Macaca mulatta: one gene and its partner. The protein of the gene in region 2 purifies or fractionates together with the protein of the main gene of each other region. This does not show direct contact. Links are inferred from orthologs where the notes say so. Each region holds a gene or a part of one and is shown on either strand. Other genes may lie near its edges.

Region 1 (6,682 bases), on a different chromosome or scaffold from region 2:
CAATCCATTTCAACGTTGTTTGACTTGAATACTGAAAGAGGTGCTTAGAATTAGTCACTTTTGGAAAATTAGGTAACAAAGTTCAGACTTCCTGGGTCTTTAGATAAGCTAGGAAGAGCTGCCACAAACTCCCTTAGATGACCATTTCCATGCAGTCAAATACCTAAAATTCAGAAGGGGTAAGACCTCTATTGTTTAATGCTTTATTTACTGTAACTAGGGCAATGTAAATCAAACCTTCAACATATCTGTGTCCCATAGTTTCTCTGTCTTTTTTCAGGGCCAATTTGACTTCATCTTCTGATTCAAGTTCAACAAAAGCCTCGCCACTTGGTCTGCCTTCTCTGGTGTAGATGAAACGAATACCTTGAGCCCCATTTTGAATTTTGCAGTCTGGAAAGAAAACAACCGTTAATACGGAATTTAAAACCTAAAACCACCTCTGGGTGACACAGATTAAATGTCTATTCCGTGTCCCCACTACAAATTACGTAACTTGTGAAGCCTGCATATAATGATGGTATTACCAACTCCTGGAACTCCAATAAAAAAAAAAAAACCTCATTCCCAAGGTGATGTATTTCCAACCCATCAACAACATACAATATTCAAAGCAGTTTCAGAATGAATTTCTCTCTTAAGTCCCTGCTACTTATGTCCACATCACACATCTTTTATCAATTTCTCAGAACATTATCAAGCCTGGACTTTGTGACTTTATGGCAAACCTACTTCGTTGCGAGTTGCTTTGGTCTGGTCTGGCGCGTTTGTCAAGTTTTACCTTACCAGCAGCCACATTACGGTTTCTCATTCAAATCCAAATTACAGGCCCAATACTCACCTGAAAGGGGATCAGTGTTACCAAGCTAAAATGCTCCAAGTTGCACAGCTGAAGCCAAACCCAGCGTTGCCCCCTGCAAGGTGGCTTCCAGTGTACTTGGTTCTTGTTTTACAGGTCGTTTTCCGTTACCAATGCTAAATTCAGATAGTAAGTCAACACTACAAACGTCTTGCCAAAAGCTGTCAATTTCATACAAGTAGAATTTTATCAGTCTAATTTTTCCCAGTCTAATAATGGGAACAAGGACATTCTGATAGAAAATATTCAGGAAACCTAGGGACTGCAAAAACACTTCCCTGGGTTTCAGTGTTTTCAATTGTATAGTCAGCCAAATTAAGAACTAGATGAGCACACACTCTTCAATTACCAAATCTTGATTAGGAAAACTGAAATTAAGACGTGACATTTTAACTTTCCGAAGAATGCTCCTTTTCAAGGAAACACCAGAACTGGAAACAAGAGATTACACTTCAAGATACTGAAAAACATTACTATTATTGGTCTAATTACTCGGCAATTTTCTCGAGATTGAGGAGGAAACCCACCTATGCCAATTCATCTTTTCGCAAAAAGACACCGGAGCCAGGCGCGGTGGCTCACGCCTGTAATCCCAGCATTTTGGGAAACCGAGATGGGCTGATCACTTGAGGTCCAGAGGTTCGAGACCAGCCTGGCCAAAATGGTGAAACCCCGTCTCTACTAAAAAAACAAAAATTAGCCGGGCGTGGTGGTGCGCGCCTCTAGTCCCAGCTCCTCGGGAGACTGAGGCAGGAGACTCGCTTGAACCCAGGAGGCGGGGGCTGCAGTGAGCCGAGATCGCGCCACTGCACTCCAGCCTGGGTGACAGAGACTCCCAACACAAAGGAAAAAGAAAAACGACATCCATAAAAGAAAAGTTGGTGTTCAAAGGTAGTAAAGAAATCAAAGGGTCTGCCAGATCTGCCGCACTCCCCCCGCAGGGCCAGGAGGACGGGCGGGGCTTTCGAAAATTCCATTGCGTAACCGCGGCCGGCCGGGCGCGAGCCACACGGCGGTGAGTGCAGTCGCCCGCGCCTCGCCAGGGGGCGCCCCGGGTCCCGCCGCCCCGCCCCGCCCCAGCCCGGCTGCCCGCCAGCCCGCCCGCCCCGGCCTCGAACTCGAACTCCCGCGTCCTAGTTCTAACTCACCAGAAAAAAACCTCTGCACTTCATCGGCCGAGCAAGACCACGGCAAGCCCCGGACCTTCACCACGAATCCCTCTCCGCCTTCGGTGCCCAACATCATCGTCTCTTACGCGGTCCGGCGTCGAAACAAACTGCAAGGCGGGGAGGACCAGACCTGAGAGCGCCAATTAAGCTGTCCTCCGCCTCCGAGGCGCCCCCGGGCCCGCACCGGCCCCCCCACCAAGCAAAAACCGGGGGGATGCACCCACCCCGGCGGCTCCAATACCCAACACCTCCTCGTCCGGCGGCCGGACCCCCAAAAGCTGTTCTGAGCAGCAACCGTCGGCGCCCCGAACCGTGGGGGCCCGGGCCGAGCCAGCGTGGAGGAAAGGAAATGGCGGCGGCCGCTTCCGCTCCGCCTCCTCCGACTTCTCACACAATAGAGTCGGCGCGGCCTGCAGGCCTCAGCTGCGGTGCCGACATTCAGCGAACCACTCGCGGCTCTCGATGGCAGCCCGCAGCTCGCCAAGGTCCCCGTGGCCCTCCCAGAGGTATGAGGACAACCAATCCTCGCAAAAACGGCGCCCACGGTGGTCGGTGAACTGCAAGCGAGGACCCACCGAGACTCACCCAGAAACCCGACTTCTGCGTGGCTAAGACGAAATGGCCAGCGGGCGCCTGCGCAACCTAAATAAGGCCCTTTGTGCGAGTTCTGCGCACGCGCAGCCAGCTGCCCGCACCGCCCCGTTGCGTCACAAAGAGCTCTGGCGCATGCGTAGTTTCAAGAGCCAGCCCACCGTCCGCCGGCGGATTATTACACGCTTGGGATTTGGGCGCAGCACCCCCACCCATAAACCCGCCGGGCTTTTTATTGCGCATGCGCCTTCCCGCGAATATTGAACTTGGGAGTCTTAGCGGTTTATAATTGTTTCATGCGCATGCGTCTTCCTTGAAACCGTTCTCTAGCCTTACCCGCCAGCGTGGGGGAGGGGAATGGCGGCCGCCTGTTCCCTATGGGACTGTATAGGAGTCCCGAGCTCTGGGTTGAAGAGGTGGGCGTCTTTCTACCCCTTACCCCCTGGCTCTTACCGGTGCGCTCCTGGCCGACCTGAAAGGAGAGGCGCGGCCTTCAGGCGTTCCCACTCCCCGCGCCGCCTGTCTCCCCTTTATCCCCAAACCGGCCGAAGCTGATCAGCCGCAGATGGTCGAGCGTCCTGGGAGCTGCGGGGCTGCGGACGTCCCGCGCCCGAAGCCACCCGGATGGTGCCTGGGGCACGTCCCAGCCATGTGTGCCTCCACTTCCCCTTACCTGCGGTCGTCGGGCCTAGGGCCCCGGTCGGCGCGAGGTTCCCGTGCCTGTGGCTCGCGCCTGTACCCAGCTTTTGCCTAACGAACTCGCACCCTGTGTACCCCTTGACCCGCCTCACGGTCGGTGGGCCTTCCGTGCCCTGGGGCCCTGGCACGAGGAGGAATCGCGAGCGCGGGCTTCTCCACGGGTGCGTGCCGGCCTCTGCCCGGTAGGTTACCGCTGAATCTCCCAGGACAGAATCGGTAACAGTGCGTCCAATCCCCGGGCGTAGACGCCGCATTCGAGGAGACCCCCGGCTCACCCCATGTGCACACATGCTGCCAGATGAGTAATGTTCGTGGTTTCTAACAGCACTGCCCAACACCGAAGATGCCGTAGCCTCCCAGGCCTCCCCAGGTCTGAGCTGGCTGCCCTCCTCACCCCAGCTCTAGTGGACACAGACAATAAACAAATTAACAATAAGGCAGGGTTGGACCTTGCCGCAGGGCTACCTTAGCTAGTGCAGGCCTAAGTGCCACCCTGGGAAGATGCAGACGAAGCATGTTTCCAACCCCAGGGCCACAGAGTCCGAATCCAGTTTTGACAGGTTTGAGAAAAGTAGAGAGGACATCAAAAGAAAGACGGGAGCCCAGAGCTAAGCAGGGCCTGATCTTCAAAAGCCACTTAGGCCTTGGCAAGGATGTTAACTCCGAGAGAAGGCTTTGGCAGGTGATCAGCAGGGGAGCAATAAGCCCTATGCAAAGGAAAACTTGCTGGATGTGAGGGGGATGCAGATGGAGCAGGCAGGGTGAATGACGGTACATGCCATGCCCTCTACTACAAACGGAACTGGAAGCACATATCTGTGGTACCATTTCAGAAAACACTTTGGCTGAGGTAATCAAGAAGAGAGACTCTGGCCAGGTGCGGTGGTTCACGCCTCTAATACCAGCACTTTGGGAGGCCGAGGCAGGCAGGTCACTTGAGGTCAGGAGTTTGAGACCAACTTGGCCAACATGGTGAAACACCATCTCTACTAAAGATACAAAAATTAGCTGGGCATGGTGGCGCACGCCTGTAATCCCAGCTACTCTGGAGGCTGAAGCAGGAGAATCACCTGAACCCAGGAGGCAGAGGAAGCAGTGAGCTGAGATCACACCACTGTCCTCCAGCCTGGGCAACAGAGAAAGACTCCCTCTCAAAAAAAAAAAAAATATTAGCCAGACATGGTGGCATATACATGTAATCCCAACCACTTGGAGAGACTGAGGCAGGAGAATTGCTTAAACCCAGTAGGCAGCGGTTGCAGTCAGCTGAGATCATGCCATTGCACTCCAGCCTGGGCAACAAGAGCGAAACTCCATCTCAAAAAAAAAAAGAATAATAGTGAGGTAGAATAAATTTCATACATTTATAGCCAATGCTCTTATATATAAATTGTCCAACTTATATTAAAACAAGGTTTTTAAATATTTATTTTTTATTTATTATTTATTTATTTTTGAGAAACGGCCTCACTGTCACCCAGGCTGGAGTGCAGTGGTGCAAACATGGCTCACTACAGCCTCTACCTCCTGGGCTCAAACAATCCTCCTGCCTCAACCTCCTGAGTAGGTAGGACCACAGGCATGTGCCACCTTGCTCAGATAACTTTTTTATTTTTCTTTTTGTAGCAATGGGGTCTCATTTTGTTGCCCAAGCTGGTCTTGAATTCCTGGACTCAAGGAGTCATCCCACCTCAGCTGCCCAGAGAAAGTGCTGGGATTACAGGTATGAGCCACCATGTCTGGCAATGAAAGAAGGTTTTTTTGTTTGCTTTTGTTTTTGAGACAGTCTCACTCTGTCACCCAGGCTGGAGTACAGTGGTGCAATCTCGGCTCGCTGCACCCTCTGCCTTCCAGGTTCAAGGAATTCTCGTGCCTCAGCTTCCCAAGTCTAAAGGGATTACAGGTGTGTGCCACCACACCTACTTTTTTTTAATTTTTAGTTGAGATGGGGTTTTGCCACGTTGGCCAGGCTGGTCTGGAACTCCTGACCTTAAGTGACCTGCCTGCCTCGGCCTCCCAAAGTACTGAGATTACATGCATGAGCCACCACGCTCAGCCAAAGGTTTTTTAAAATAAAAAGTTCATCATCAGCCCAGGCGAGGTGGCTCATGCCTGTAATCCCACCACTTTGGGAGGCCAAGGCCGGTGGATCACGAGGTCAGGAGTTCGAGACCAGCCTGACCAACATGGTGAAACCCCCTTTCTACTAAAAATACAAAACGTAGCCGGGTGTGGTGGCGGCGCGTGTAATCCCAGCTACTCAGGAGGCTGAGGCAGGAGACTCACTTGAACCTGGGAGGTGGAGGTTGGAGTGAGCAGAGATTGTACCACTGCACTCCAGCCTGGGCCACAGAGCAAGACTCCATCTCAAAAAAATTCACCATCTTGCCTCAGTGGTCTTTATGTCTTGGTACACTTCTTATAGTTTACAGAGCTCTTTGTTAAGGCTGTTAGCCCTTAGGATAGTTGCCCCAAACATTCTTCTCAGTTTGCCTACCTTTTAATTATTTTTGTGGTTTTGTGGTGGTATTTTTTGTTTGTTTTACAGACAATGTCTTGTTCTGTGCCGTGACACAATCATAGCTCACTGCAGCCTTGAACTCCTAGGCTCAAGCCATCCTCCACACTCAGCCTCCTGAGTAGCTAGGGCTACAGGCACTTTCAACCAGGCCTGACTAATTGTTTGTATTGTTTTGTGGTGATGCGGGTCTCACTATGTTGCCCAGGCTAGTCTTGAATTCCTGGCGTCAAGCAATTCTCTCACCTTGGCCTCTCAAAGCACTGGAATTATTCTACATGTGAGCCATGATGCTCGGCCCCGATTTGTGATTGCTTTTTTTTTTTTAAGACAGGATCTCACTTTGTCACTCAGGTTGGAGTGCAGGTATGTGATCTCGGCTCACTGCAACTTCCACCTCCTGGGTTCAAGCAATTTTTGTGCCTCAACCTCCCAAATTGCTGGGATACCCCAGGCGCAGTGGCTCACACTTGTAATCCCAGCACTTTGGGAGGCCGAGGTGGGTGGATCTCTTGATGTCAGGAGTTTGAGACAGCTTGGCCAACATGGTGAAACCCTGTCTCTACTAAAAATACAAAATTAGCCAGGCGTGGTGGTGAGTGCCTGTAATCCCAGCTACTTGGGAGGCTGAGGCAGGAGAATCACTTGAACCCAGGAGGTGGAGGTTGCAGTGAGCAGAGATCCCGCCAGTGTACTCCAGCCTGGGCAACAGAGGGAGACTCCATCTCAAAAAAAGAAGGAAAAAAGTACCAAATAGCTGGGATTACAGGCAGGCACCATCACACCTGGCTAATTTTTGTATTTTTAGTAGAGATGGAGTTTCACCATGTTGGCCAGGCTGGTCTG
Region 2 (6,887 bases):
AAATTAGCTGGGCATGGTAGCATGGGTCTGTAATCTCAGTTACTTGGGTGGCTGAGGCACAAGAATTGTTTGAACTCAGGAGTGGTAGGTTGCAATGAGCTGAGATCATGCCACTGCACTCCAGCCCGGGTGACAGAGTGAGACTGTCTCAAGAAAAAAAAAAGTCTAGATCAGAAACTGCATAAAGCCACTTCAACCATAAAATCTAATATCAAAATATATTCACAGGAGTTGATCACTAAAAAACATGGGAAATTTTAATTTGAAAGTTTTTTGCAAATTTAATATTTAATATCATTCCTAATACTTTGTATTTTATCAAAATTAGATACTTAAAAGAAAACATTACCACCATTTAGATGCCTCCAAATATTTTCTATTTTACCCCAGTACGCTGCACAAAAATGATCATTTTCTGTATGTCATGATATAAAGGAGAGGGTCTGATACAGATTATAAAGTTTGCCTGCCACCCATCTAACCCTAGGACCCTCACTCCCTCCTCCCATCCTATACACTCCCTTTCTCATTTCAAAGAATCAGGGCTGCAAGTGTAGACCATTGCCAAGTTTCAAGTCTGTGCCCTACAGGGTCAAGGACTTTCGGAAAAGTGCTTTTTGTACCTGAGACACAACTGGACCTTAAGTTTATTTATTTATTTTTTGAGATGGAGTCACCCAGGCAGGAGTGCAATGGTGTGATCTCAGCTCACTGCAACCTCCGCTTCCCGGGTTCAAGCAATTCTCCAGTCTCCACGTCCAGAGTAGCTGGGACTACAGGCACCCACTACCACACCCGACCAATTCTGTATTTTAAGACGGGGTTTCACCATGTTGGCCAGGCTGGTCTCGAACTCCTGACCTCAGATGATCCACCCGCCTTGGCCTCCCAAAGTACTGGGATTACAGGCTTGAACCACTGCGCCCGGCCTTTGTTTTGGTGGGGGAGGGGGCGGAGTCTCGCTCTGTCACCCAGGCTGGAGTGCACTGGGCCAATTTCCGCTCACTGCAACCTCCGCCTTCTGAGTTCAAGTGATTCTCGTGCCACAGCCTCCCAAGCAGCTGGGATTACAGACGTGTGCCTCCATGCCCGGCTAACTTTTGTATTTTTTAAAAGTAGAGATGGTGTTTTACCATGTTGGCAAAGCTGATCTCAAACTCTCCACCTCAGGTGACCCGCCTGCCTCGGTCTACCAAAATCCTGGGATTACAGGTGTGAGCCATGGCGCCCAGCCAGAGCTTAAGTTTAGACAAAAGCATAAAAAATAACGTCTAAAAACAGCACACAGTCAGGATGAACAACAAATCTGGACCAATACAATGGGGAGGACAAAAAGATGTGAATAAATGGACTGACATTTCATGTTCCTGGAGAGAACTTAGTATCCCATCCCACATTGTTTCGCGATTTAACATTAACATTTATACAAAAGTTATTAATTAGAACAAAAGTTATTGATTAGAATTAACTTGATTAGAAAAACCTGGAAAAACATACCCTAAAGTGCAGCCAGGTGATCACTCTTCTTGATCACCTATGTAGTGTTTCATAGGGTACTCTGGTGTGAATACCACTTTCCAAAGGTCTTTCACTTTGCATTTTTCTTTGTATCCAGAATTGATAAAATTACCAGGACTATTTCACAGTAATCAGACTTAGAAAATCTTAACACTAACTAGACGCTAAGGCTATACATTCTTACAATGTCTCAAGTCTATTGCTGGCCATCAGGAGCACCTGGATACGCAGAATACGTGAAAGTTTGCGAAAAAGGAATCAAAGCAACAGGAGGAGTCTGGTTTGAACGGTTATTTCATCCAAATTACATTAAGGACTGCTAACTGGTTTCTGCCCCACAAAACTACCCTTTGTGCATGTTTCCAAACTATAACGCAGGTCCTCCTGGGGCAACGGTTAAATAAATTAACAAATTCTTAGACTTTGCGCTCCCTTTTCCAAACTCGAAGTCGACCACTCCCCATTTGTTAACAGAAACTTTTAATGTAACTGATTAGATTTCTAACCTTTCCTAGGGAGAACCAGTTCAATTCTAAAAGAGTTGGTCACATGGGTTGCTAAATTAAAATATAAAGCATTTTCTAACAGGGAAGGGAGGCTCGTCAATTGTGGTTATTTTTATCAGTAACTTTAAATATGGATTCATAGATTATCAATTTATGGCTGGCCTGGGTGTTAGAAGATGACCTAATCCCATCCCCCTTTTCATGTAAAAAACTGAAACTACAGCTCTGTGAAGTCAAATGATTTAAAATCATCTGACTAGGCCGAGAAAGGATTAGATCTCTAGAGCATTACGGTAACAATCTTTCGCAAACTGGTAGCATTATCTGGCGACCCTGCTTTTCTGAAAATCTTGTCAATTATTCAGTTCCTTAAATTCCGTCAGCTACAACAGATGCATCAGCTCTTTCCACACTAACTTGAAAGAAGCACATTAGAAAATAGTCCTGACTTGTTTCTTGAGATCAGTAACTAATGAACTGACCTCCACCAGTCCTGCCTCAGGTCGTTAATGGTAAAAATTCTGTATGTCGGCCGCGTTTTGAGGCCTGCCCAGGGTGCCTGTGATTCCTACACGTCGGAGCCGCAGGGATTTTCAGTACATGCCCTCAGGTGGGCGCCGCAGTCACAGACACTGGTCCCTGGCATTTGGAAACAGGATAGGTGGTCCGAAGGGCTAAGGGGTTTTACCTGCAACCTTTAAATTACAAGCAAGAAAAACGTAGGTTTTATTTCGGGCACAGGAATGGAATGAATTCGGAAAAGGAAAACTAGAGGCCTGCGGGGGAAGGAGGCACAAGCGCGAGAAGAAAAGGAAAGGCCTTTCTCTCTGGTGACGCGCGATCACGAGGCGTTTTCTCTACGTGGACGCTCACCATTGGCGGAGACCGAACTGACGTCCCGGAACTCGTCCGGACGCGAACGGCGCCAAGGCGGTCCTGCCCTGAAAGTCGGCGAGGCGCGCGCGCTCCCGCGGCACGCCGCGCCTCCGCCCTCCGCCCGCCAACCCGCTGGTCCAGTCGTTCTTCGCGCCCGCTTGGCTCCGCCCCCTTCCCAGCTCGCTCCTCCCCCACCAGACTGGCGGCGCGCGGAAAACGCGTCACGTGACGACTGGCCCCGCCTCTTCCTCTCGGTCCCATATTGAACTCGAGTTGGAAGAGGCGAGTCCGGTCTCAAAATGGAGGTAAAACCGCCGCCCGGTCGCCCCCAGCCCGACTCCGGCCGTCGCCGTCGCCGCCGGGGGGAGGAGGTATTAGGGGGAGAGCGGGGGGTTGGTGGGGAATGGCCGGCGTGGGGGGCCTGGTTCGGTGGGAGCGGGGAGGCCGGGTGAACCGGGGCGGCCGTCCCGCGCTCTTGCGTTGAGACGGGCGGTGGGAGGGGGAGGGGAGCGGGCCTTGGAGACCTCCTCGGGGCCCCTCACCCGCCTCGCCTTCATCTTCGGCTACACAGGCGGCCCCTTGGAGGCGCGGCGTGGTCGGGGAGGTCCCGGGAGGGAAGCCGGCCTGCCGGTTGCGCGGCCTCAGAAGCGAGGCCGAGGGCGGCATGGCGGGCCCCGGCGGGAGCGGTTGGGAAGAGGTTGTGGGGGAGGGGAAGGGACGAGCAGGCACATCCGGGCGAGCGAGCAGGCGGGCGGCGGCCACATTGACATTGATCCGCCGCCGTGTTACGAAATGGCGCATTGGCCCGCAATGGCCGCCGCCTCGCTCTGCCGCCGGGAAAGAGAGCCTGGGATTGGAGAGAAGAGGGCGGAGGCGGCCCGGCAGAAAATGCCGCAAATGGCCTCGAAGCACGAGAAGGTAGTGCTTTCGCTGAAGTTCGGCGGACGCTTTTCTGGGCATTTTACCGGTTCTCTCCGCGAGGAGAAGTCGATAATTGGCCTGTTCTTTTCTTCGCAGCATCCTGTTGGAAATATGAGATTGTTAAAAACTTTGCTGCTTTAGAATACTTCCTGTTTTTGCTGAAGTAGTTACATTACACTTCTCAAACCGCCATGTGGGCGAAGAACTTAGTATTTGAGAACTTGAGTGCAGATGTGAAAACCCAGCCAGCTTTTTACCGACCCCGGCCGTTGGGGAGGGTGGGTGGAGAAGAATTTGAGTGTAGATGTTAAGGAAGAATTTTAAAATGTTTTTTATCTTCATGTTTTCCCATTCTTTGAGTCGGCTCTGCTTGTAGTTTCCTGGAATTTTATTTAGAGGACTGCAACCAAAGTTGAAATTTTCACTTGTTTGCAGTACATTTAATGTGGATCCTAAATATTTTTGTCGATTTCGTTATTGTCAATCGAATACATTTATCCAAGACTTGAAAAGATGAGACTACGTGAATTAATGCTTTAGGCTCTTAACATTTTTTTCTAGCATGTGACAATCTTCACATTAAATGCCTTAACATCTCTACCTCTAGAAGACACTTGAAGACATGAGAATGTAAATGTGAGCCCCCTTATTTAAGGACTTCGGGTGAAGGAAACCTTCATGCATTAAATAACAGTTCATGCAATGTGTTAAGAAGTCTGACTGAAGTATAAAACAATTTCAAGACATCCTAATTCTTAAAAATCTCAATTTTTGTTTTGCTGTGCTCCGTTCTTATGGTCAGACAATACATACCATTCCTAATGTAAGTTCAACTTGGCAGTTTGTTGTGACTCTTAAAATTGAGTCATAAAATGAAGATTTTTGCAGCATATAACAAACATGGGTTATAGAAAGCTATTTGGTCGGCTTTTTTTTTTTCCTCTTAGTTTTTTTGGGAGATGCTGGTTTGGCTTAGGAATGCCTATTTTAAATTAATTTGCTTGAAAGCAGTGAGTTTCTGTAAGTTTGACATTTAGAACTTTTAGATTGTTCATCACAGTTTGGAGTTTAAAATTAAAAGCATGTTGGGATGTAGACTGAGAAGAGTTGAAGTGGGATAGATGCAACACTGCTTCTCCAGCAGTTTAGTGCCTTAGAAAATGACTTCTCATTAGCAACTTCTAAAGTAAAGGTTTTCAGACAATTGCAGCTTTTAAAAAATGAAGGGTTTTTAGATTCTGGATTTGTCTTGGATTTCAGTTTAGTTGAAGTGATGTTGGCATTTGAAAGGCTGGTTATAGGTTTCCTTGACAGAGTTAGCCCTTTTAACAGTTGAAGTCTGTATTTCTGGTCAAAGTTTTTGTTGTTTATTTTTTTGTTGTTGTTTTGTTTTTGTTGAGACGGAGTATCGCTCCTATCGCCCAGGCTGGAGTGTAATGACACGATCTTGGCTCACTGCATCCTCCGCCTCCTGGCTTCAAGCGATTCTCCTGCCTCAGCTTCCCGAGTAGCTGGGATTACTGACGCCTGCCACCGCGCCCAGCTAGTTTTTGTGTTTTTAGTAGAGATGAGGTTTCGCCATGTTGGCCAGGCTGGTCTTGAACTCCTGATCTCAGGTGATCCACCTGCCTCGGCCTCCCAACGTGTTGGGATTACAGGCATGAGCCACCGCGCCCAGTGTCTGGTCAGAGTTAACTGGACAAAGTGTTAATTGTCACAGGAATTTGATGTTGATTTTATTACTTACAGTACATTAAAGGCTCTTCGTGCATCTTAATCCATCTACTGTAAGATAATTTAAGAGTATTGGTTCTTTCTCTCAGGGCCATGATCCAAAGGAACCAGAGCAGTTGAGAAAACTGTTTATTGGTGGTCTGAGCTTTGAAACTACAGATGATAGTTTAAGAGAACATTTTGAGAAATGGGGCACACTCACAGATTGTGTGGTAAGTTACACTAAGGGAATAGAAGGGTTCTAAGTGTTGAAGAGAATCCGTGGAGATGTTTTCAACGTTGTAAAACTTTTATTTTGTAGGTAATGAGAGACCCCCAAACAAAACGTTCCAGGGGCTTTGGTTTTGTGACTTATTCTTGTGTTGAAGAGGTGGATGCAGCAATGTGTGCTCGACCACACAAGGTTGATGGGCGTGTAGTGGAACCAAAGAGAGCTGTTTCTAGAGAGGTATTTTAATAATATATTGTGTAATATATGAAATTGTTGTGAAAGTTTGTTTCTTGACTTAATTTATTACTTTATTTATAGGATTCTGTAAAGCCTGGTGCCCATCTAACAGTGAAGAAAATTTTTGTTGGTGGTATTAAAGAAGATACAGAAGAATATAATTTGAGAGACTACTTTGAAAAGTATGGCAAAATTGAAACCATAGAAGTTATGGAAGACAGGCAGAGTGGAAAAAAGAGAGGATTTGCTTTTGTAACTTTTGATGATCATGATACAGTTGATAAAATTGTTGGTAAGTAACAATTTATGGTAACTCGAATGAGAAAGTAGACGTGGGTTTTCTGTCTTGAACTAAATTTGCTAAACTGCTTGTAATTTTCTGTTGCGTGTAATGGCATTTATAGTGTATAGTCAGTTTTTATAGTGTCTATACCTGTGTAATCAGTATCCAGATCAAGAAATAAACATTAACATCTCAGAATGCTCCTTCATTCCCAGAGTAACTACCTGATTATGTCTTAATGGGTTACATAATGACAGAGGGTATCTCGTATATGTGCTTTTCCAAACATAAAATAACTTTCTGTTTTGTTTGATTAAAAAAAAATTTAGTTCAGAAATACCACACTATTAATGGGCATAATTGTGAAGTGAAAAAGGCCCTTTCTAAACAAGAGATGCAGTCTGCTGGATCACAGAGAGGTGAGTAGGACCATACACATGTACACAGTGGATGTGAGTCATGTTTGTAAGGTTCTTAAAAATCTCCCTTGCCTGTGTTAAAGGTCGTGGAGGTGGATCTGGCAATTTTATGGGTCGTGGAGGAAACTTTGGAGGTGGTGGAGGTAATTTTGGCCGTGGTGGAAACTTTGGTGGAAGAGGTA

The links.
Region 1: the proteins of HNRNPA3 (region 2) and HNRNPH1 fractionate together in Homo sapiens (co-fractionation; 3 studies listed by BioGRID and IntAct, with this or other methods). This does not show direct contact. The link is inferred for Macaca mulatta from reciprocal best matches to the Homo sapiens genes HNRNPA3 and HNRNPH1.

The regions. Positions count from the first base shown.
Region 1 is NC_133411.1:188,581,459-188,588,140, forward strand, and holds the start of HNRNPH1 (heterogeneous nuclear ribonucleoprotein H), read right to left. Parts: upstream 3,695-6,682; 5' UTR 3,293-3,694; intron 2,649-3,292; exon of another isoform or gene 2,253-2,648; intron 2,136-2,252; 5' UTR 2,105-2,135; coding exon 2,008-2,104; intron 394-2,007; coding exon 238-393; intron 32-237; coding exon 1-31. UniProt on the Homo sapiens protein: This protein is a component of the heterogeneous nuclear ribonucleoprotein (hnRNP) complexes which provide the substrate for the processing events that pre-mRNAs undergo before becoming functional, translatable mRNAs in the cytoplasm.
Region 2 is NC_133417.1:82,126,249-82,133,135, forward strand, and holds the start of HNRNPA3 (heterogeneous nuclear ribonucleoprotein A3), read left to right. Parts: upstream 1-3,142; 5' UTR 3,143-3,199; coding exon 3,200-3,271; intron 3,272-5,644; coding exon 5,645-5,767; intron 5,768-5,856; coding exon 5,857-6,003; intron 6,004-6,084; coding exon 6,085-6,295; intron 6,296-6,615; coding exon 6,616-6,705; intron 6,706-6,788; coding exon 6,789-6,884; intron 6,885-6,887. UniProt on the Homo sapiens protein: Plays a role in cytoplasmic trafficking of RNA. Binds to the cis-acting response element, A2RE. May be involved in pre-mRNA splicing.